Rattus norvegicus: one gene and its partners. The protein of the gene in region 2 interacts with the protein of the main gene of each other region in a biochemical or structural test. Links are inferred from orthologs where the notes say so. Each region holds a gene or a part of one and is shown on either strand. Other genes may lie near its edges.

Region 1 (7,701 bases), on a different chromosome or scaffold from region 2:
AGCAGACCCAGGACCAGATTGTTGTATTAACAGCTTTTTCCCAAATTAAAACATTCCATCCTGCAGGGGAGCTATTTAAACAAGAAGGTAAACTACTAAAATTAGCTAAGAACATCCTGAAACCGAACAGATTCACTAGGCTCCTCCTGCCAGAGTAAACTATAAAAGCTGAGAGTCCTTTTCAGAGGGGGGAGGGGGTAAGCTGAGCTACAAAGAAGGGAGCTGCAAAGACACAAAGACCAGAACAGCTGCCTAGAAGCAGAAGCCATGCTGCCTGGAAGAGGTTTAGACCAGAGAGTCACTTGGAAAGGACACTCTCCAACCTGCTGAGCTGCCTGTAGGATGTGCAGTGTGCTCCAAGTTCCCAGCTCTGTGAGCTGTCACCCATGCTTGGGTGGTATACACATGGGTCTGTCATGTGATCCCTATCGGGGGTGAGTAGACTGTGTGTTGCATCTCACCAGGAAAAGTTCTGTCACACAACATGGATGAAAAGGATCATCTATAAATAATGTCCACTCTCCACAGGCTACACCAACATTACGGGATCTACACCGTGACACCCTTGTCCCACTGCCTTCTGTAAAGGACACCTCCTAACATTAAGACAGGCTGCTGGGAAATGGGACACAGTAGCTCATGTCTGTAACCCCAGCACTTGCAAGGTTCTGACAGAATGACCTGAGGTCACCTGGCGGTATATCGTACATGCCTAAGATACACAAGCAGACCCTGCCTCAAAAAAAAAAAATTACTGACACAGAATGAAAAGTCACACTGGTTTAACAGAGAGGTATCATACTGAGGTCCTTTGGAAGCTATCGGGTCTGGTGATATGACATAGGCAGACCAAAAACAATGAACACAGACCCCAGGTAAGTTCTCAAACCAAGGTGGCTCAACCGAGAGGCTCAGCTCTGGCTGCTCCACTTCATACTCGGGTCCCCCAGACCTCTCAGTAAGTTCATTCCTCAGCCTATTTCCTAGAAACCCATCCCTCTCATCCCCCTCCTCGCTGTAGACCAGAACTTGCTTCTTTCTTAGCATGCCATGGAAAGAGAACCTCTAGTGACCAAAGGGTAGTTCTGTTTGTGAACTACAAATGAATAAAACCCAAACACACAGTGCTTTTCAGACATTCACAGGTTGAGGCCATTAAGGTTTTAGAGTAGGACAAAGAATATTCTAGACTCACACAATCCAAACTCCTTATGGTAATGAAATGTTGACTCCCCAGGGTGGCAGGCAACCATATTCCTCCAGCAGCCCCACCAGGTAGCTTGCCCTGAGTCCCAGAGCAGAGTCAGAATTCTTTACAGGTATAAGCCCAAGCCTTGACCTGCTCTCCAATCAGAACACTTTGAACACCTTCAGTTCACCAACTCTCCTTTACCAATTGAAAAAAAACAAAAAAACAAAAAAACAAAAAAAAACAGACCCTGGATGGCCAATCAGCTGGCAGGAGGTTGGAGAGACACAGCAAGCCCTGACCTCTTTAGAGTTAAGGCCAGCAGTAACAGGCCTCCTCTGTCCTGAGCACTGCAGGCTTCTCCTTCCTCTAGAACTAACCCCCTTGCTTTGCTTTGCTTCTCTGGGCCTCAATGACAAAGCTAAGTAACACAAGCCACAGGGAACAAAATGCTTATTAACATGAACTGTAGGAGCATCCGAACAGCAAGGGCTTGGACAGAATGATGTTGCTGAACCCAAAAAAAACCTCAAATTGTCCCGGCATGGCAGCAACACTCCTCCATACCCTCCCCAATGTCATGCACCATCTGGAAGAGGACAACAAAGTCAATGACAAGAAGGTTAGCAAGGATGGTGTGTGCTCGAAATCCCAGCACTTGGAAGGGTGGACAGGAGGGCTGCAAGTTTAGGCTGGCCTCATTTACATAGCCTGACTCCTGTCTCAAAAGGGGGGAGGGGCACTCTGGACCTAAAGGTCAACTGTCCAGAACTTACCATGCATAAGCCTATGTCCAATCCCAAGTGCTTGAGAGAGACTGACTACACCAGGAAGGAGAAACAGAATTTGCCCTATGAAGCCAGATTTAGGACTTAACACACCCCACTGTAGAGATTAGTAACTCTCAAACATTATGATATCCATGGCACATGGAGCCCACAGAACCCAGGCATCTCCCCATAATAAAGTTCCTAGGATTACTATTCAAAGAAAAACGCCAGATACAAACTTCCTACAGACAGGAAAGAAAACTGAGCCGCAGAGAGGTCCAGGCATGTCAAACTCACAAGGAACATTAGGAAGGAGTAGCCAGGGAAAACAGGGCAGCTCCCCGGGCACATGAGCTCCGATGCCTTAAAATGCCGGTGCGATCAAGACATGCTGACCCAGGAGGCTAGGTGGCAAAGTGAGGGTAAACCAATTTGTCTTCCTTTTCCTTCTAACCAAGTTACTAGGTCAGAGGCTAGGGGAGGGAGTGCTTTTATATTTAATCAAATGACCGAGAGACATTTGACAGGGATTCCTTGGGAGTGAGGGACGCCATACTTAAGTGCCTACCCTATACCAGGGATAGTCCCAATCTCCATCCATGTTTAGGATGAGAAAAGGAAAACCGGAAGCTAAAACTACCTTATTCCGCAAACTAGCTATGGCCAGCTCCACAAATAATCTGGGTACCTGGTAAGGTAGCAAAGACAGATTGCTTTAAAGTACTGAGGCTCTGCAAACCTGACACACTGCCTTCAGCATCTGAGCAGGCATCGTACAACTGATACCTGTGTATCTTTGCTGTCACCCTGCAGTGGTCAAGTGAGAATGAGACTCCTACAATTATCTGGGAGATGGGAGAACCCCGGGTAGACAAACTCACTAGATTTCCATCAGGTCTCACCCACCGGCCCCCTCTACAGAACAAAGCCTTCTGATTTAGCAAACTGACCGGAAGCTTTAGTGATTTGCACACACGCCCATAGGGTAGGAGAATGTCCTCTAACCCAAGGCCATTCACAAGACGACACCCAGGAATTACCCAGAACCTACAAAACAGGTTAGAAGTAAAAGAAAGCTCAACAGCAAAAAGCTGTCAAAAACCTAACCCTTGGGCTCTGCAAGACTCCTAAATAATCTGAAGGTGAGCCATTTAAATGCCAATCAGAGAAGACTCTGACTCGAGAGCGACTCCTTCATCGAGTTTATAGATGCTTTGTGGCTTTAAGAGAGAAACGGGTAGGAACCCCTAAGGATCTAAGCCTCGATTTTCTAAAGCGTTTAAAACAAAACCAAAAACCCCAAGGTTACTAATTGGGGAAGGATTTCGCACTTAGAGGAGCGCGTCTGATTATTGGTTTCCGGAAGCAATAGCAAATCGACAGAGAAGGTTACACTAGGTGCGGCAACCCCGATTTCACTGCAGGCGTTACATTTAAACCCCAAGCAGCCTCAACTTCAGTAGTGGAAAGAAAGATAGGCAGTTTAACCTCACTAATTGCCCTACACATACACCCTACCTTACCGGTTTGAGGAGCCTCCACTCGCACCTGGAGCGAAGTCCACCGGGTTTGTGTTAAGCACAGCCCAAGGGTAGAAAGGTACTAGTCGCTCGAGGCATTTCCCAGAGAAGAAAGGTCCGGGTTAACACAGGGTTTCTCGGAAGTCTCTTCTGCACAGCCCAATACTATTAGCACCTTCCCACCCGCAGAAAGGAAACAGGAAAAGATAGGACAAGGGAGTAGTTGACACCAGAATGTAGGCTCCTTGACGCGTACGGAGGCTTCTCTACACGCAGGTTTTTACCTACAATCGTGGCAAAGTCCCCCCCCCCCATGACCCCTTGCAAAGTCCCTCCAGATCACTGTCCTGGGGCGGGAAGAAAGGTGGAAGGCGACACGTGACCCTGGACCTCCCCACCCCCGCCAGAGGTCAGCGGACACCTCTAGCTAGAGGTCTTCCACCTTTTGGGACGCGCTTATGGGGCCACAAACTCTAATCCCCTTTCGGACACCCAAGCCCTCGACCTCCGGTCCTAATTGGTCTTATGGTCCCTTCACCGCCAAAAGGTTTGGGACCTGTCTCGCATCCCGTTCTCCCCGCTGCAACAGTCCTCCAATAATTCGCGGCACTGAATCCAGGAATTGTGCCACTGCCGGGCAAACCCAGAGCGAGTGAACTGGGCCCAGCAGTTAGGAAGTTAGGAAGTACAGGGGTTCCCAAGGACCTCCTCTCCCGCCTTGGGCACCGGGTCCTGGGCAGAGACAGCCCCGCTGCCTCCTCTCCATGCTCAAACTGGGTACACACGACCTTTGAAAAGTAAACGCTAGCGAGGCTGGACGACCTTGGGTGGGACGCGCTCGGGCTCGCTACCCAGAAGGGTGAGCCGGCACCGGGAAAGTTGAGGCTCACCGAAGCGCCCGGGGAATTGCGCCCTCATCTCCATCCCAGAGGCCAGTGACATGAGGGGGATGGGAGGGGAAAGCAGCGGCTCAAAGCAGCGCCCCAGGCTCAGCGCACGCGATCTGTCAGTAGCAGCCCGCGGGCAAATCGCCGGACAGGGAAGGAGCAGGGGGGGCGCGCGGGTCACCAAGGCTCATACCGGACCGCTTGACAGCAGGCGCCGTGCACAGGACTCTCCGTCGCCGGAGTACCTGACGCACGCGTCGCCCTCTGCACCTGCACCCCAGGCTCCCCATCACCCCAACTCGTTCTCCCTCCGGGCCCGGCAGGAGGATGCCCGCGCCAGCCGTCACTTACCTGCTCCGGGGCGACCGTCTAGGCGCACAGTCCTCCCGCCACCGCCCCCGGGCCCCCCACCTAGCCCAGCGGCCCTGCCCCGCAGCGCTGCAAGGCGCTTCGGCCGCTCCCCCACGTGCTAGCCCAGGCCGGGCGAACACAGAGACATTAAATACTGAGGACGCGCAACGACGTGCCCGCGGCGCGACGCAAGGCCCCGCCCCTCGCCCTCGGCCCCCTGGCGTGCCCCCCTCGCCCGCTCGCTCTCCTGCGCGTGCGCGCCACCAGCCGCTCCCTCCCCCGACTTGCGCGCGCCTCTCTCCTATCTGCGCCAAGAGGGGCGCGGTCTGGAGCGCTCCGCTGATATCCCGGCGCCGCTCGGGCCCGCCTTGCTGGCGCTCTCGCGAGAGTAACTATAGTCACGGCAGGCGTGGGAGATGATCCTACGTCCCACAAGGGCTGGGGTGGGTTACCCATGTCTGAGCGCTAGGCACAATGAACTTGGCTCGCTTGAGAGCTCTTCTTCTCCGGGACGGAGAGGTATCAGGCAGGTTCCTGCCTTGGGATGGTGCGTCCCATGGAAAAGGCAGGAGCGGCTGGTGAGAGACGAGGTTACATTGTTCCTCTTACCTAGGAATTGAGCTGTCCCGTAACTTTGCTAGTATAACGTAGCATTTCGAGTATATTAGGTGGCCATTAATTGATCAGTAATATGGATAATGTGTAGCCCTCGAGGGCAAGTTGCTTTCTCATTTTTGCAGCTTTAGTGATGTCGATAGGACTTTTCTCTAAATGATTTGAGTTTTTGCAAAGTTTGCCTTCGAAGAAGTGGTCACCATGAGTCACTGCCTCCTCCCAACAACATGAGAAAATAAAACTATCATCAGACAATTGGATAGGAAGGAGGTTCCACTTGCTAACCAGCCCTGCTCTGATCCTTAAAACCTAGGCACTTTAGTTTCTTGTTTATTTTGATATTCTGAGATTGTGTCTCATGTAACCTACACCGGCCTCAAACTCTCAAACTGTCAAGTTCGAAGCTGACCTTGAACTCCTGATCCTCCTGCCTTCACCTCCCCGGAGTGTTAGCATTACATAGCACTTTCAACGCATATTTTTGTACAAAATATAGAAAAGATGCCATACCACGAACGAACCATTACTTGGGAAAATCTTCACTGGTGATTAAATGTGAATTTATGTTTTAAAAGGAGACTGTATGCTTACTGAGTGGTAAATATAATTTCATGTATCTACTGTTTCACTCATTTATTTCCTGAGGCAGCACTTGGGAAGCTGAGGGAAGAAGATTACCACAATTTCAAGTCACCCCAGGCTACCCAAGTTGAGATCCTATCTCAAAGTAAACCCCCCAAATTGTTTTTAAAGATTATTTTTATGCGTATGAGTGTTGACTACACACAGACATTCATTCACCACTCGAGTGCCTGGTGCTTGGGAAAGCCAGAAGAGGATGTTGGATCCTGTGGAACTAGAGTTACAGAGCAGTTTAAAGCCTCCATGTGGAGGCTGGGAACCGAATTCTGGTCCTCTGGAACATTTGATGGTGCCCTTGCCATGAAGCCTTCTCTCCACCACCACCCGGCCGGTCAAACTTAAGTCCAATAATACCTGTTCTGTAAATAATAGTGGATTAGTGACTGACCGTGGCAGAAGGGAACAAACAAGAAACCTCATTGTCATTGGAGATGAGATACTGGCCTGAACTAATGGCCCATCATTGCTCAGTGACTCTGGGGTGTAAGAGGTAGAGGGAGGGGGTTGGGGATTTAGCTCAGTGGTAGAGCACTTGCCTAGCCCTGGGTTTGGTCCCCAGCTCCGAAAAAAAGAAAAGAAAAAAAAAAAGAGGTAGAGGGAGGCTCACTCCTGTTGTGTTGGTTAAGGAATGGGGAGCGCTGGTGAACGAGCAGCATTTGGTTTATTTGGGGCCCATTAACTTTGTTTTGGTTGTTTTGGTTTGTTTTGGTTTTCAAATAGCAACTGAGTTGGATATGCAAGTCTGGAGATCAAAGGAGAATGGGTAGGGAATACACATATGTAAAAATTGTGTAAAGGGGGAATACACACCACACTTCCACACATATCTGAGGCTCTTTTAATTTTGCTTTGCTCCATGTAGGTTTTTTACTGGTAACTCAGACTGGCCTCTGAGTTGTGATTCTTTTATGTTGGTCTTCTTAGCTCTATGATTACAGCTCTGTGTAGCCGGGCCTGGCTCAAAGGGGGGATATTTTTTTTTCTTTTTTTTGGAGCTGGGGACCGAACCCAGGGCCTTGCGCTTTCTAGGCAAGCGCTCTACCACTGAGCTAAATCCCCAACCCCATAGGGGGGATATTTTTAAGAAGAGGAAAAAAAGCAGAGAGTGGAACGGGGGATAAAAATAGGAGAGATAGCTTCAAGCAGTAAGGCTATACAGGCGTGAAGACCTGAGTTCAGATCCTCATCACCCAAGTTAAAAACTAGGTGTGTGGGTGGGATGAGATGGCTCAGAGGGTAAAGGCAAAGCAGGAAGACCTGAGTTCAATTTCCAGGACCCACTTGGAAGAAAATAACCAAATCCTAAAAGTTTCCTCTTCCTCTTCCTCCCCTTCCTCCTTTTCCTTCTTTCTTCTCCTCTTCTTCCTTTTCTTTCTCTTCTTCCTTCTCCTCTTTCTCCTCCCCTTTTTTCTTCCCCCTGACATTTCTACCTCTGGAGTGCTGGTGTCACAGAAGTGCATGACAACCCTGGTTTATGTGGCCTTGGCTGGGGAATCAAACCCAGAGCCCCTGGCAGGTAGACCAGCACTCTACTGACTAAGCTACATCTCTTTTTTTTTTTTTTTGGTTCTTTTTTCCGGAGCTGGGGACCGAACCCAGGGCCTTGCGCTTCCTAGGCAAGCGCTCTGCCACTGAGCTAAATCCCCAGCCCCTAGAATTTCTTTTTCTTTTCTTTTCTTTTTTTTTTTTTTTTTTTTTTTTTGGTTCTTTTTTTCCGGAGCTGGGGA
Region 2 (7,190 bases):
CCTGTACTTTAAAAGTTCCAAGCCATTGTCCCCAGAGCTCCCATGGACTAAACCACCAAGCAGAGGCACACATGGAGGGACCCATGGCTCCAGCCACAGAGGATGTAGCAGAGGATGGTATTGTCTGGCATCAGTAGGAGGAGAGCTCTTGGTCCTGTGAAGGCTCGATGCCCCTGTGTAGGCAAATGCCAGGGCAGGGAGGTGGGAGTGGGTGGGTAGGAGGGGGGCATCCTCATAGAAGCAGAGGGAGGGGAGATGCGGGGGGGGGGGGGGCAGACCTGGATAGCATTTGAAATGTAAATACATAAACTATCCGATTTAAAAAAAACAACGGGGGTTGGGAATTTAGCTCAGTGGTAGAGCACTTGCCTAGCAAGTGCAAGGCCCTGGGTTTGGTCCCCAGCTGGGGGGGGGGGGGGGAGACGTTTAAAAAACAACAACAACAAAAGATTTAGTACATTTTCTCTTTTCCCGATTTTGCCTCTCTCATATAATTAGTGAAATGAGGATTACTAAGCTATAAATAAGAAAACTATAAAAACTATAAATACAGGAGCATTATGTAACAGGTACATACAAGGTTGGATGTGAAGACGGCATCCACAGTTTAGGACTCCTGGGGAAAGTCTCCATTATGTTACTCGCATGGCTCTCATGGATAGACAGAGGTTGTAATTGATGACCTGTAGCTCGGAAGAATGCTGGATGGCCGCTATCTTTTTTCTTTATCCCTCTCCTCCCCCTTCCCCCCTCCCTCTCCCTCTCCCCCTCTCTTTCTCTCTCTCTCTTTCTCTCTCTTCCTTCTCATGTAGCTCAGGCTGGCTTCAAACTCAACCATGTATATATCTGAGGATGACTTTGAATTTTCAGTCTCTTGACTCCACTTCCCATATCCGTGGAGGGATGAAAAGACTAAAGATGTAAACTAGAGTGTCTTAAATTTACATTTAAGGGGTTGGGGACTTAGCTCAGTGGTAGAGGCTTGCTAGGCAAGCGCAGGGCCCTGGGTCCTCAGCTCCTTGGGGGGTGGGGGGGAGATTTGCATTTAAATTGCATTTAAAGATAATAAAGAAGGCAGGGCCGGAGAGATGGCTTCCCAGTTAAGAATGCACAGTGCTGCCTAGGAAGTGCAAGGCCCTGGGTGGCCCTGGGTTCGGTCCCCAGCTCCGAAAAAAAAGAACCAAAAAAAAAAAAAGAATGCACAGTGCTCTCACAGGGGCTCTGAGTCTGTTTTTCACAGCAGCTCCAGGGAACCTGATCTCCTTTCTGGGCTCCCTGAGCACTTGCATTCGCAGGCCCACATACACAGACTTAAAAACCAGTGTTTGCGGGCTGGAGAGATGTCTCAGTGGTTAAGAGCACTGACTGCTCTTCCAGAGGTCCTGAGTTCAATTCCCAGCAACCACATGGTGGCTCACAACCATCTGTAATGGGATCCGATGCCCTCTTCTGGTGTGTCTGAAGACAGCTACAGTGTACTTATATATAATAAATGAATAAATCTTTAAAAAAAAACCAAAAAACAAAAAAACAGTGTTTTAGAGAACTAAGGCCGACAACACGGTCTAGCAGGAAGCCTGGTGGGTAAAGGTGACGGCCCCAAAGCCTGACAGCCTGAGTTCGATCCTCAGAACCCACAAAGTGGAAAGGGAGAACTGACTCTCAAAAACTGTCCTCTGCATATTACACCAGTGCTGTGGTGTGCGCATGCCTAAACACATAAGCACACAAAAATAAGTGAACCTCAAAAAATTAAAGAATTGGGCAAGAGGGGTTGGGGATTTAGCTCAGTGGTAGAGCACTTGCCTAGCAAGCACAAGGCCCTGGGTTCGGTCCCCAGCTCCGGAAAAAAAAAAAAAAAAGAAAGAAAGAAAGAAAAAGAAAAAAGAAAAAGAATTGGGGCAAGAGAAATGACTCCAGAGTTAAGAGCAGTTGTCGTATAGGCATAAGGACCAGATTGAACCCTTGCACCCACATAACAAGCCAGACAACCTCTAAATGCCCGTGGTCCCAGTTCCAAGACGGTAGAAACAGAAGACAGTTGAGGCTTGTTAGCGGAGTAGTCATGAAGAGATAAAGAGAATAGCAGGTACCCACCTCTGTGTTCATGTGCTGCATACACAGGCGCACTTGGGAGGCAGAACCCAGCGAATCTGAGGTCAAGGTCTGTAGAGCAAGTACCAGGATTACACAGAGGAGCCCTGTCTTGGAAAACCAAAAATAAACTAATTAGTTAATTAATTAGTTAATTCCCTTTAGGGATTGGAGGGATGGACCAGCAGTCAAGAGCAGTGGCTGCTGTTCCAGGAGATAGATTTCATTCCCAGCACACGGCCACTCACAACTGTCTGTAACTCCATTCTAGGGGATATGACTTTTATTTCCAGCCTCCACCATTTGGGTGCACAGACACACATGTGGGCAAAACACACATAAAATAACATTTTAAAACACTCCTCTAAGGGGCTGGAGTAGTGGTTCAGTGGTTAAGATCATTCACTCCTCTTGCAGAGAAAGTTCCCGGGTTCAGTTCCCAATACTCATATCAATTAGATCCCAATCACCTGAACTTCAGCTTCAGTGGCTCTGACATTCTGTCTGGATTCCATGGGCACTTGTACATGCATACATACAAGCAAGGGGTTCACACATATACACATAAAATCAATAAGTAAGCCCACATATAATACACACCCTTTAAGGGCTGGAAAGGCAGCCGTTAAAGAGCATGTCCTGCTTTTCCAAAGGACCCAAGTTTGGTTCCCAGATCCCACATTGGGACAGCTCACAACTTCCTGTAACTCCAGCTCCAAGGGATCTCACACATTTCTGGATTTCATGGACACCTGCACAGGAGCGTGCGCACGCAGACACACAAATATGAGAATAAAATACTTATTTTCAAAAACTGGGAAAAATTCTCTTTAAAAAGTAACAAGGGTTGGGGATTTAGCTCAGTGGTAGAGCGCTTGCCTACCAAGCGCAAGGCCCTGGGTTCAGTTCCCAGCTCCGAAAAAAAAAAGAAAAAAAAAAAAGTAACAAAGGGGGCTGGAGAGATGGCTCAGAGGTTAAGAGCACTGGCTGCTCTTCCAGAGGTCCTGAGTTTAATTCCCAGCAACCACATGGTGGCTCACAACCATCTATAATCAGGTCTGGTTCCCTCTTCTGTATACGTCAAGCAGAAAGCTGTATGACGTATACATAATAAATAAATGTTTTTTTAAAAAAATAAATAAAGGGGCTGGGGATTTAGCTCAGTGGTAGAGCGCTTACCTAGGAAGCGCAAGGCCCTGGGTTCGGTCCCCAGCTCCGAAAAAAAGAACCAAAAAAAATAAATAAATAAATAAAAAATAAAAAGTAACAAAGGGTTATAGGCATGGTAGCACGCACTGTAATCCCAGCACTTGAGGCAGGCCCAGCTTGGTGTACATTACTAGTCCCAGGCTAGCCGGAGCCAGTAAGTAAGTCTCTGTTACCAGTCAGGGGAGGGCTGTCTTTCTGCCTGTACCACTCGTGGTTCTTAGGGACAGAGACTGGTTCTCATAATTTGTTGTTACTGCCTTACTTAGCAGATGGAGTCGTAAGAAATAAGAACCCAGTGTAGCAATACAACATAGCACATATGTTTGAAGGATGTCCTTAACCTGTTAAGAATGGAGGCACAGCTCAGGTGTCAGTGCAGAAAGTACTTTAAAAGAAATGTTGTCACCGGGGTTGGGGATTTGGCTCAGTGGTAGAGCGCTTGCCTAGGAGGCGCAAGGTCCTGGGTTCGGTCCCCAGCCCCGGGGGAAAAAAAATGTCACCAAAGAGCCATTCAAGACTGTCTGGAACCAGCCTGCCCTCTTGTGTGTTGGCTCATGGCTGACGGAAGGGTGAGCAGAAGACCTTGTTGGGCTTCCGCTGTGCAGTGGTCACATCTCCCAGGATGTGTAATCTCCACAGAAGATGCCGGAGCTGCAGCCTCTACCTAACGTGTGGGTCCTGGGTGGGCCCAGGTCAAACCATCCTTCAGTTCTACCAAGCCACACAGATGTTTCTGTTGAGTTTCCAGGGTACAAAGTTTCTGCAATGTGAATTCTCAGTGATTTTGTTGACCTTTCCGGAAAGGGAACTTGAGTGTGTACAACTGGCCATGCCCAGCTGTGATCTTAGAATCAGCCAGGACCATATTCTGTATCTGTTGCAGACTAAAACGAACAAGAACGGCGGGAACCAGGAGGTTGAGATTGCCCACTGCCATAAGGGGCAGTACTTTGGAGAACTTGCCCTGGTGACCAACAAACCAAGAGCTGCTTCTGCTTATGCGGTTGGAGATGTCAAATGCTTAGGTAAGAAAATGTCTTTGTGAAGGGCTTACAAGGCCTGCCCCAACTTTAGGCAGTTAATGGTAGCTGGGGGAGGGAGGCATAATCCTAATTAAACTATCCTCCCCTTCCTCCCAAAAGAACATGACATCAGGAGAGCAGGATGGGAACCGGCTGGGAAGGGGGGTTGGGCAGCAGGTAGGGTGGGATGAACACGATCAAATCATACATGCATGGAGGCCGTAATAAAAACCATTATCATGTGTGGCTGAAATGTGCTAAAATGAAAAAAGAAAATTCTTTGTGCATTACTAATTTTTTTCTAATATACAAGGTTTTTTTGTTCGTTTTTCCTGTTATCAGCCTTGACTTATTCTGCTTACTCTCATTCAGATCTCGGTCTGGGTAGTTTGTGACTCAGTGCTCTTAACTGCCGAGCCATCTTCAGCAAAGCTTCTTCTTCTTCTTTTTTTTTTTTTTTTTTCTTGGCATTGAACTTTAAAACCTTGCACATTCTTTTCTTTTCTTTTCTTTTTTCTTTTTTTTTTTTCTTTTTTTTCAGAGCTGGGGACCGAACCCAGGGCCTTGCACTTGCTAGGCAAGTGCCCTACCACTGAATTAAATCCCCAACCCCTCACATTCTAAACACATGCTGGGCCACTAAATCTCTACCCCCAGCACCCTAGAAATCAATTCTGAGCAATGAATCCAGGTTGGGAGGCAGACAGGCCCATGGGCACACCGGCACACAATGGGCACACAGACACACAACAGGCACACAGGTACACAACAGGCACACAGGCCTGTGAAAGCAACAGTGATGGAGGCAGGTGGCCAGGCCTGTGGAGGAACAAGACAGGTGGTTGCTACTGTGCCCACCATTAGTCTTCAGCAGAGATGCAGTCCTGCTGTATTATGCAGAAGCACCTCTTTTCCCATGTGCCCAGGATTCTAAAATTCAGTCCTGTAACATGAGTGGGTAGTGTATTTAGGAAAAGGGTTACATGCAGGAAATTAAATTGTTAATGTAAACAAATCTTTCTCTCCCACCCCTCTTTTTTAACAATGCAGTCATGGATGTTCAAGCATTTGAGAGGCTTCTGGGCCCCTGCATGGACATCATGAAGAGGAACATCTCACATTACGAAGAACAGCTGGTGAAGATGTTTGGCTCCAACTTGGATCTGTTGGACCCCGGGCAGTAGATGTGATGAATCTCGGAGCCTTCTCAGTGTGATACCAAATCCTTCCAGTCAGCCACAAGAACACACCCAGAAAACAGACACGACAGAACTGCGCCTGCTGCTGTCTCTGCTGCTGCCATCGCTGTGGTAAAGGGCACTTAGAAGTCTTGAAAGATGGACAGAGGCTCTACCCACATCCACCTTCCACTTTGCTTCTGAACGCCGTCATTAGACCACTTATGTCACGATTACTCCAGCCCAGGTTTCACGTTTGGTTCAGAATGGCATGTCTCTCCAGCAATTTAAGTGCCTGATACAAAGTCCAAAGTGTAAACATCCTTTCCTCTCTTGCTGCTAATGTTGCTTCTGAAAGTTCTGAGGTCTGCAGAAACCTGTGGAATAACACTCCACAGTCCTTCTCAAGGGAGGAAGTGGTAGAGCCTTCAGTCTCCTCACTTGTCCTTTGAGAAGGTCCACAGTGTGTTCACAATTGCTGCTTTTCTCTCACAGTGGAAGGTGGTAGCAGTTATACTGGAGTTCTGTGCCCCAGGGGCCCTATACTTTTGCTGGAAGCTACACATTATATAGCTGTGTCCAAGCTCCGGAAAAGGCCCCCTTGAAGGCCCAGCAGGTCCCTAGGAGCAGACGGTACTCAGACTCGCTTAGCAGGAAACGTGGATCCAGCACTCTTGCCAGTGTAGCCAGGAAAGGTTATCTGGGTCAGGGTTTTTGTTGTTTGTTTTTAGTAAGTTTTTTGTTTGTTTAACCTCTGTGCCGTTTACATAAACAAATTGCTATCCATTTCTAAGGAGCCGGGGGTGGCCGTTTAGCTCAGCTGGTCAGAGCACGGTGCTGATAAGGAGCCAGGGTCTGGAAGTGTTATTGCTTTATCTGACCTAAGTACTTCCCTGAGTGGCCCCTGCCATGACCCTGTCCCTGGCTGATGGCAGAAACTACCCAGCCGGAGGTTGTGCTGCACAGAGAGCCCTTCCCTTGTAGCTTTATTACACAGCGTGGCTACTAATCCGCAGTTTTTAAACTCTTAAAAAAGAGGCTTTTTTTTTTTTTTTAAGGAAATTTTTTCTCTATTTAGAGAATTCACCTTGGATGTATTCATATACATGGAGTTTGTCCACTGACTCAGGCATTTGTCCTAAATATCTGTTTTCAAAACTTGTATCATTGGGGTAGGGGTTGGGTGCAGCTCAGTGGCAAAGCTCGTATATAGCACATGCAAGGCTCTGGGTTTGGTCTCCAGCACTATAATAGCCATGGAAGACAGGTTATCATGCATAAACATGGAATTACTGTGAAGGCCTTTCTAACTGTCTCGACTTTTGCCCTGGTCACTGTAGCCAAGAAATGTCCAGAGTAGATGGGTTGCCACAGTTTTGGGAATTAAGTCACTTTTTCTTGTGTTTCATGAAGCAAAAGCAGGACTCTTCAGACTGCTCTGAGTAGCCTACGTTACAGATCTGGGGTTTGTCCAGCTGTAACTACTGTGAAGCAGGCAGCTAGCACTGGAAAACCCTCATAGCAATCCCGAATCTTCCTAAGGTCCTTTTCTATGGTATCGCTTTATTAAATAAATCAGACCTTGTACTTTGACAGAATAATACCTGATTTCTTGCAAAGGTAAGAGGTGCAATGGGCTCCAGGAGTAGCCCAAAAGTCCAGCCCCAGACCTTACAAGGACTCTAAA
Region 3 (7,873 bases), on a different chromosome or scaffold from region 2:
TGTTCCCAGAAACATGAACACACGCATGCACATGCGCAAACATGCCTGTACATACACATACAAACACAGAGTATAGAAGAAAGAGGTGTGGTTTAGAAGAAACTATATAACAAAGATACAGTAGCCACATAAAGATTGGTACAAGTCTGACACATAAGCCGATAGAGGAAGAGGTGGCCCAGAAACAGACCCGTTCTTATGAGAACCTGTGAACTAAGACAGGGTGGGCAGCCTAGAGCACAGGAAACTTTTCTATTATGACCCCAAACTGGCTGATTTTTAATGTGAGCATCAAGAAAAACATATTTGAAACTTATTTCCAATGTTTGTCTCAAGAATATCATGCTGATTACTAAAGTAATCCAATGATCACTAAATAGTATTTTTTATAAAGTGTATATGCAAAAAAAGTATCAGCATGTTTGAAAATTGCTTCCCTGGGACTCACTCCAACATGGAGTCCTTGAGACCAAAACTTTGTCCAATCTGTTTATCTTTCTAACTCAAGTGTCTGAAAACACTTCTTGACACAACTGTAAGCTTTTGAATCTATAAACTAACATATATGTCTACCAGGAGTGACAAGGTAAACCTTTTAACTAGCATATAAACAATGGAGAGTTTGATTGGAACAGCTTGAGATGGCTCAACTGTAGGCAATAGATTCCAAATGAAAGAGAAAGAAAACACAGAAGGGAAAGCTATGAGGAAAGGCTGGGCTATGAACCTAGAACTTGAGAGGCTAAAGTAACAAGATCTCAAATTCAAGTTATGGAGTAAGACCCTCTTTTCAAAAACACAAAAGAAACTTATGTGAGAACATCGAGTGAAGCCACTTTTAAATGTAGCAAATGGAAATTTTATTTGTATTATTTTCTTTGTTATGAATGAGAACAAAAACTATTTCCCCTTTATCTTAGTTAGGGTTTCCATTGCTGTAAAAAGATACCATGACCAAGGCAACGCTCATAAAAGACAATGTTTAATTGGGGCTGGCTTACTTGTTCTGAGGTTCAGTCCATCATCATCATGGTGGGAAGCTTCGAGGAAGGTATGGCACTAGTGGGAGGAGCTGAGAGTTCTATATCTTGTTACTAAGGCAAACAGGAGACTGGCTTCCAGGTAGCTAGGAGGAGACTAAGCCACTCCCATAGCGACACACTTCCTCCAACAAGGCCACATGTACTCCAATAAGGCTACACCTCCTAATAGTGCCACTCACTCCAATTGTCATGCATCTTCAAACCAACACACCCCATAAAACCAGTCCAGAATTAGAAGATCTCTCCACTCCTCCTTTCTATGTTGCAACCATCTGCAACTCAGATACTGTTCACTGCTTATATTACTTGCAATTACGAAAATCTTCATTCTTAAGTCATGAATGTGCCTCAAGCTCATCATGCTTTGTTCGCCAGATGCAGATTCCAGGGTTTTTCCCTCTAAAAGATAAAACAGAAAGTTTGAGTTCCTTAGAAAACAGGCTTTCTGGTTGAGTCAGCCAGACACAGAAATGACTGAACTCTAAACCAAAGTATGGTCTTGGAATTGACAGCCCCTGGGACTCTGTTAGAAGAACAACAATACCAACCAACCAGACCCCCCCAAAAAAGCTCCCCTTCCAGGGACTAAACCCCCATCCAAAGAATACACAGGAACAGACCCATGGTTTCAGCCATGCACATGTAGCAGAGGATGGCATCGTCTGGCATCGATAGAAGGAGAAGCCCTTGGTCCTCTGAAGGCTCAAGGCCCCAGAGTAAGGAAATGTCAGGGCACCGATGTGGGAATGGGTGGGTGGGAGGGGGAGCATCTTCATACAAGCAGGGGGAGGGGGGATGAGAAAGGGGTGAACTGGGAAAGGGGATAACATTTGAAATGTAAATACAAAAAATATCCAATGAAAAAAGAAATTTTGGATCTTGGCAAATGACAATACTACAGGCGTAGCGAGAGATAGTAAGATGTTGATCCCCCAAAATGTAAATAGAGGTGCTACGTGATCAAGAAATTTCACTCCTAGGTACTCATGCAAAAGGAGAAAAAAATCAAGCTGGATGTGTGGATGTATGGGTGTTGGAGTGTGTGTACCACTTGCAGCAGGAGAAGTTGATAGAGGAGATCCAACAATACCCCATAGAACACGTGGTATTTCTCACTTATAAATAAATTTCTCACTTATAAATTCATACTGTTATGAATTTAGCCGTGCAGTCGCCTCCCTGGAGAAGTTGATTTCATTTATTTAGGGCATATCCTCAAGTACGTATTTCTGGCTCACCTGTTGGCACTGAGCTTAACAATGGATATTGGAAATCATGCCAAAGCTGAAGCCGAAACAGACTGATGGACGTTCACTAGCTAGAAATTTCTCTGGCCACCAAAGCAAAACGAAGAAAGAAGTCTATGGGCTTGGAGTAAATATATGTAAGCCACACATCCAAACATTTAGGAGTTCGCATTTTTGGACACCGAACAAACAGAACCGTCAAACGCGCGATTATCAAATAGGCAAGACTATCTGAAGGAACATTCTTCTAAAGAGAATATAAAAATGGACAACGTGTGTATAACAAAAGAACTTGACATCACTAACCATCAAGGAAGTGTCAATCAAAACTCCATGTTTATTAGGATAGCTATTACCGAAACAGCGGGAGATATTGTGTTGGCTAAGGGTGTGGAGAAAAGAGAATGCTTGCACAGCATTGCAGACGATGGAAATTCCGGTCATTATGGAAAAAAGCATGCAACTTCCTCTAACACATTAAAACTTGATTTGTCATAGGACCCAGCTTTAGTCCTTTGCAAGTTCTGTCATCTGACAGACATCTAGACATCGAGGACCTTGGCTCAGCCGGAGCACTGACCTCCCGCTGCCCTTGTCTAAGGCCAGCAGGGGGTGCTGTGGACCGCGCAGAGTCGCACGAGAAAAGGAAGTGGCCGGACCAGGCTCGCCCCGTGTAGGGTGCACCCAGACTGTCCTGGGCCAGAAGCGCGCAGTAGGTTCCGGGTCCCGTGACTCGCATGACTGCATCGCCGGGTGCGCGGACCGAGGATCTGCCCTGTCCCCCTTGAGAGAGAAGTTCCCACGGCCGTGGCGCCCATGGCGGGCGAGAGACTCGGGCAACAGGGCGAAACGGCCACTGCGGTTCCGGAGACCCGAGAGCACCTCTTTAAGGTGCTGGTCATCGGCGAGCTCGGCGTGGGCAAGACAAGCATCATCAAGCGCTATGTGCACCAGCTCTTCTCCCAGAACTACCGCGCCACCATTGGCGTGGACTTCGCCCTCAAAGTCCTCAACTGGGACAGCAGGACGCTCGTGCGCTTGCAGCTGTGGGACATCGCTGGTAAGAGGGCAGTGTCCCAATATCACCAGACTCTCACTTCTCTCTGCCTCCCGGTTCTTGTCTGTCCTTGTCTCTGCCTGAGCTCTCAGCAGTTGCGCTTTTAAAAGTGGGCAAATAGAACAGGAGATGAGGGACACCTGGAGGAGCTTAAAGCGTCCTGAAAAGTTGACTTTCGGAGGCCTCTCTCTTACTGTACTTTTTAGTGACTAAAGGGCGTGCCTGAAGTTCCACTACCAGTTAGTGCAGCGGCTTTCAATCTTTGGGCCCCGACCTCATTTGCAAGGGTAGCCTATGATCTTAGGAGAGCACATATTTACATTATGATTCATAACAGTAGCAAAATTATAGTTATGAAATAGCAACGGAAATAATTTTATCACCACATACATGAGGAACTGTGTTAAAGGATGTCAGCTTTAAGAACCACTGCCTTAGTGGTACAACTAAAACCAACAAAGCCCCTTTACTTTTCAACCCTGCCCCGCCCCAACTTGACTTGGGTCTGTGCCTCTCTGAAGTAAGGGCTTTCTCTTTCCGGAGCCAAACTTATAATTTACTAAAAGGGTTTGGAGCTGTGGGTGAGTAAAACTTGGAACCTAGCCAAGCCTTTGTGAGGGGTAACTCCATTCCTCAAATTCCTCTCACTTGGGAGGCCTGGTGACCCTGGGGAAGGGTTGGGAAAGTTCTGAAACTTTCCCGATGCCTTCCCCTCACTAAGCCAATACTTAATGCCTTCTCGTGGGTACCTCCCTATCCCACAAATGCTGAATTGTTTTCTTTTGCTTTCAATTATTGCTCTGGAATGTAAGAACCATTGTCTTCGAGGGCTGATTTATGAATCCCCTGAATTCTAGCAGGTGTGGTAGGTGCCCATATGGGCGTTCAAGGAAAGGTGAACTTTAGTGAAGTTTAATAGAAGTGGCAAGCAGCAAAGGTTAACCTGCTCAATCACTGGGAACGGTCAGGAGCTCCGTCTGCCAAGCGTTTGAATGGGAGCTTGTTTAAGGCGGAGAACACCTTATGGTCCTTTCCACAGGGAGCATACCCCAAAGCCCCAGAGGGGTGTGGTTACACTACAGCTGGCAGTAGCCTAGAGGGACAGTGATTTCTGCCTGCCAGTTAGTAAGTGCTGTGTTCTTTTATAGTCACTCCACTGAGGAAGTGTTAAAGAATTTATAAACCTTATACTCGTTTGCCTAAGAGCAGAGTCTAACATGGGTAAGAAGAATGGATTTATGCATATCATTTATCAATTTCTCAAAGTTATTTCGCCTTCGGTTCAGCTTGTTTGATTTTTTTTTTGCCTCCTGCAACAACTAAGAATGTATTTCAAGTGTCACCCTTTAAAGGCAGAGGCTTCGTTGGCAACACTCGCTCCTACTGCCCAGAAAACTGGTGGGCATTCTGTTGCTTCTTGACATTGTCTCACATCCTGAAGGTTGCCTTACTGTGTGACCCTCACCAATGAGGATATCCTGTGCATCTCTTTCACAGAGGTGATTTGGAATCCCTGCTTGGAATGGCAGTTCAGTTTCTTCTATTATGTGCAAATTAGTAGGATATGAGCTATGTTAAATTATGTTTGGAGAGTTGAGGAAACAAAATCAGGGGTCCAGGGTGGTGATGGCCCCTGCTTTTAGCCCCAGAATTTGGGAGGCAGAAGCTGTTAGATCTCTGAGTTTGAGGTTAGCCTGGTCTACATAATGAGTTACAGGATAGCCAGGGCTATACAGAGAAACCCTGTTTCAAAAAATCTGAAAAGCAACCACCTCTTCTTTCTGTATATCACTTCTGCTCTTTGTATACCAACCCCACTGTTGAAACTACCAGGATGAGCCACTCCACCCAACTTCATCCTCGTTGAAAAGACACCGTAGCCTGGAGGGAGACAGAGCCCATTTGTCTGCTGTAATAACACATCCTTGTACCTTTGCCAAAATCTGACGTCTGAGCATTACTGGAAAGGAGAGAAACGTTTTACAGTCTGCAAACTGGATCTCTGGTGTTAGGTGTTGCTTTTTGACCAACAGGAACTCTTGTAGCATTTAGCAAATACAAAACTCCAAACAACAGAACCAGAGGAAAACTTAGGACATAACTAGACTATTAGGCTTTTCTCAGAGAGTCTGAATTTGAGGCAAGATGTCTTAATATGCAGGTATCAAGAGACACAAATAACTTGGGTTTGGGGTTGGAATTTGCAGAACTACACATGGCCTTGACTCTGCTTGATTTGAACTTTTGAGGGACTAGTGAATCCTTCTTAGCTCATACCATTTGAATGAGGGAGAAGTTGGGTAAAGAGCCCATGCCAGAACGCTCCCCGCAGGAATATTCCAAAATATTCTGTAAAGCATATGCTGTGTGCAACTTACAAGGTTGAATCATACTGACTTCCAGAAGATTAAAGTATTTCCTGGTTGCAAAACAAAAGTTGGAGCCAGCCACTAGCCATGACTCACTTGCTAGTTCCTCTTCAATGCCGTTGTCCTGGAGGTCGTAGAGGTGGACAGGGCCATAAAGAAATCTGCAATCAGAGAAGCTTTGAGAAGTATAATAAGCGAGAATTACAGAACGCTTTCTACAAATGCAGCCAAACAGGTTTGTGTAATCCCTTCAAATTAAAGACCATAGTAGTTTTCTGGTATATGGCTCAACAAAGTGTTTCTCATATCATTGAAGGAGCCCAAATTAGAGCATGCACCTCGTATTGTAGACTCGACCATTACCATTTCTTACTGCCTTCATCCCAACATTTCCAGTCATTTGCTCACGACATCTCATGCTTCTTTGCCCAGGAAGTTCAGAATTCCCACGGCAGACAGGTTTTCATTGGCTTCATTCTTTTTAAAAATGCATTTTGAAAGAATTTCTAAGCTGTGGACATTTCTGAGATGTGTTGAGCTGTTTCACTGGTACATGGCTACAAGAACACACCCTAAAGAAATAAATCGAAGCATTAATTATAGATGTGCGCCTGGCCTCAGGTAAACACTCACTAATGAAGCCTGCCAGTGAACTCTGTAGCCCAGGAATGAAGTGTTATTTTCAAATACGTTCTTGGAGACATTGCATCCGTTGTACATACATATGGGATGCTGGGTACTTTTTTTTTTTTAATCAGCTTTCCATATGGAACTTTCTCTTTCCATATAAACATGGGGGATGTCTTCTGAATGGCGAGACATGAGATCACGGAAACATTTTAGAATTCCATCCAAGTGTTCTCATCGAAAACCTTGGCCCTTTGACCCAGCAAGCCAGGCCTGGGTGGCTCCTTCAGTCTGATTTCTGAGGCAGAGATGGGGGAAAAAGCAACAACAGAATGTATACACAAAGATGTAGCTTTGTGCTTCCTATTTGTCTTTTTAACTGACAGATAGCCTGGCTTCTTTCCCACCCCATTCTTCCCCTAATAGATTGTATCTATACAGTTTACTTACACATCCTCTACCATGGCTTGTGGTAGCTTCCTGAGATCAATCTGAACGTGTTGTCCTTCCTATTCTAAGTATCTCTCACCAGAACCACCGGGGCCTTATTAACATCTACTGTCCGGAATATACACGGATTCTTTAGCATCTGTTCTGACAGTAGACTTGGCTTTATCTGACAAACGTGTCCATCCAAACCGGCTTAGTAGAAGAGTTTTTTTTTTTTTTTCATGCCTAAGTCTGGGGTCGGGCATGCCAGGACTGATGTACAATAGCATGAAATCTTCGTAGACAAAAACTGGCTTTCCACCACTCAGCTGTTCCAAGGATGTATTATTTGTTTCAGTGGTCCAGTAAAATGGGCCTGTCTCGGTTCAAAGGCAGCTAAGAAACATAAGACTCGTGATTCAAACTGGTCACAGAGCTCGCTCCAAAGCATTCTGTAAAGGGGAGCTGAGACTAATGTACCTACTGAGTCAGAATTGGAACCACTTGGAAGACTGTCATCCGTCAGGCACCGTGGGTGACTCTGATTTAGTCTAGAGCTGAGAGGCACTGTTCTGTCTTCGGCTCTGTTGCACCCTGGCAACACACCCACACTCCCACTACTCTTCAGGAACTTATCAGTGAATCAGACGGCCTACTTGGCATCTGTGTTCCGCCAGTCACACCTTCCATGCCCTTCACTTCCCGTGTTTCACAGCACTTCCATAGAAGGGCCATCCTCACTCTCTAAGTGGCCATCTCAGGAGCCTCTGGTAGAGGCCAGTTTATGGACATGGATAACTGTTTACATCTGAAGACGGGATACCTTTTGTTCTCGTTGAATACATTCGTTTAAAGGTTTAGGAACAATGTCATCATTTAAAGCTATTATGAGCTTGGACACAAATTAGCAAGGAGTTTTAATTTACATAATAATAATCCTTTTTAAAAAATTCTACGATTAGAGATTGTTTGTTGCCAGTATTTGACCTCTGAAGGACACCATGAGATTTAAGGATTTTCTTTATGAGAGCTTCTATTTACTAATCAGAAGCTGGACATCTCCTCCAAGTGACCTTGTGTCTTAATGGGTAACTCACGTTA

The links.
Region 1: the proteins of Prkar2a (region 2) and Akap1 form a complex in vitro, tested with the Homo sapiens proteins (2 studies listed by BioGRID, with this or other methods). The link is inferred for Rattus norvegicus from reciprocal best matches to the Homo sapiens genes PRKAR2A and AKAP1.
Region 3: the proteins of Prkar2a (region 2) and Rab32 interact in a test that uses a peptide from one of them, tested with the Homo sapiens proteins (2 studies listed by BioGRID, with this or other methods). The link is inferred for Rattus norvegicus from reciprocal best matches to the Homo sapiens genes PRKAR2A and RAB32.

The regions. Positions count from the first base shown.
Region 1 is NC_086028.1:74,146,457-74,154,157, forward strand, and holds the start of Akap1 (A-kinase anchor protein 1, mitochondrial), read right to left. Parts: upstream 4,911-7,701; 5' UTR 4,718-4,910; intron 1-4,717.
Region 2 is NC_086026.1:118,328,399-118,335,588, forward strand, and holds part of Prkar2a (cAMP-dependent protein kinase type II-alpha regulatory subunit), read left to right. Parts: intron 1-4,186; coding exon 4,187-4,328; intron 4,329-5,375; coding exon 5,376-5,509; 3' UTR 5,510-7,190. UniProt on the Homo sapiens protein: Regulatory subunit of the cAMP-dependent protein kinases involved in cAMP signaling in cells. Type II regulatory chains mediate membrane association by binding to anchoring proteins, including the MAP2 kinase.
Region 3 is NC_086019.1:6,776,349-6,784,221, reverse strand, and holds the start of Rab32 (ras-related protein Rab-32), read left to right. Parts: upstream 1-2,963; 5' UTR 2,964-3,106; coding exon 3,107-3,350; intron 3,351-7,873. UniProt on the Homo sapiens protein: The small GTPases Rab are key regulators of intracellular membrane trafficking, from the formation of transport vesicles to their fusion with membranes.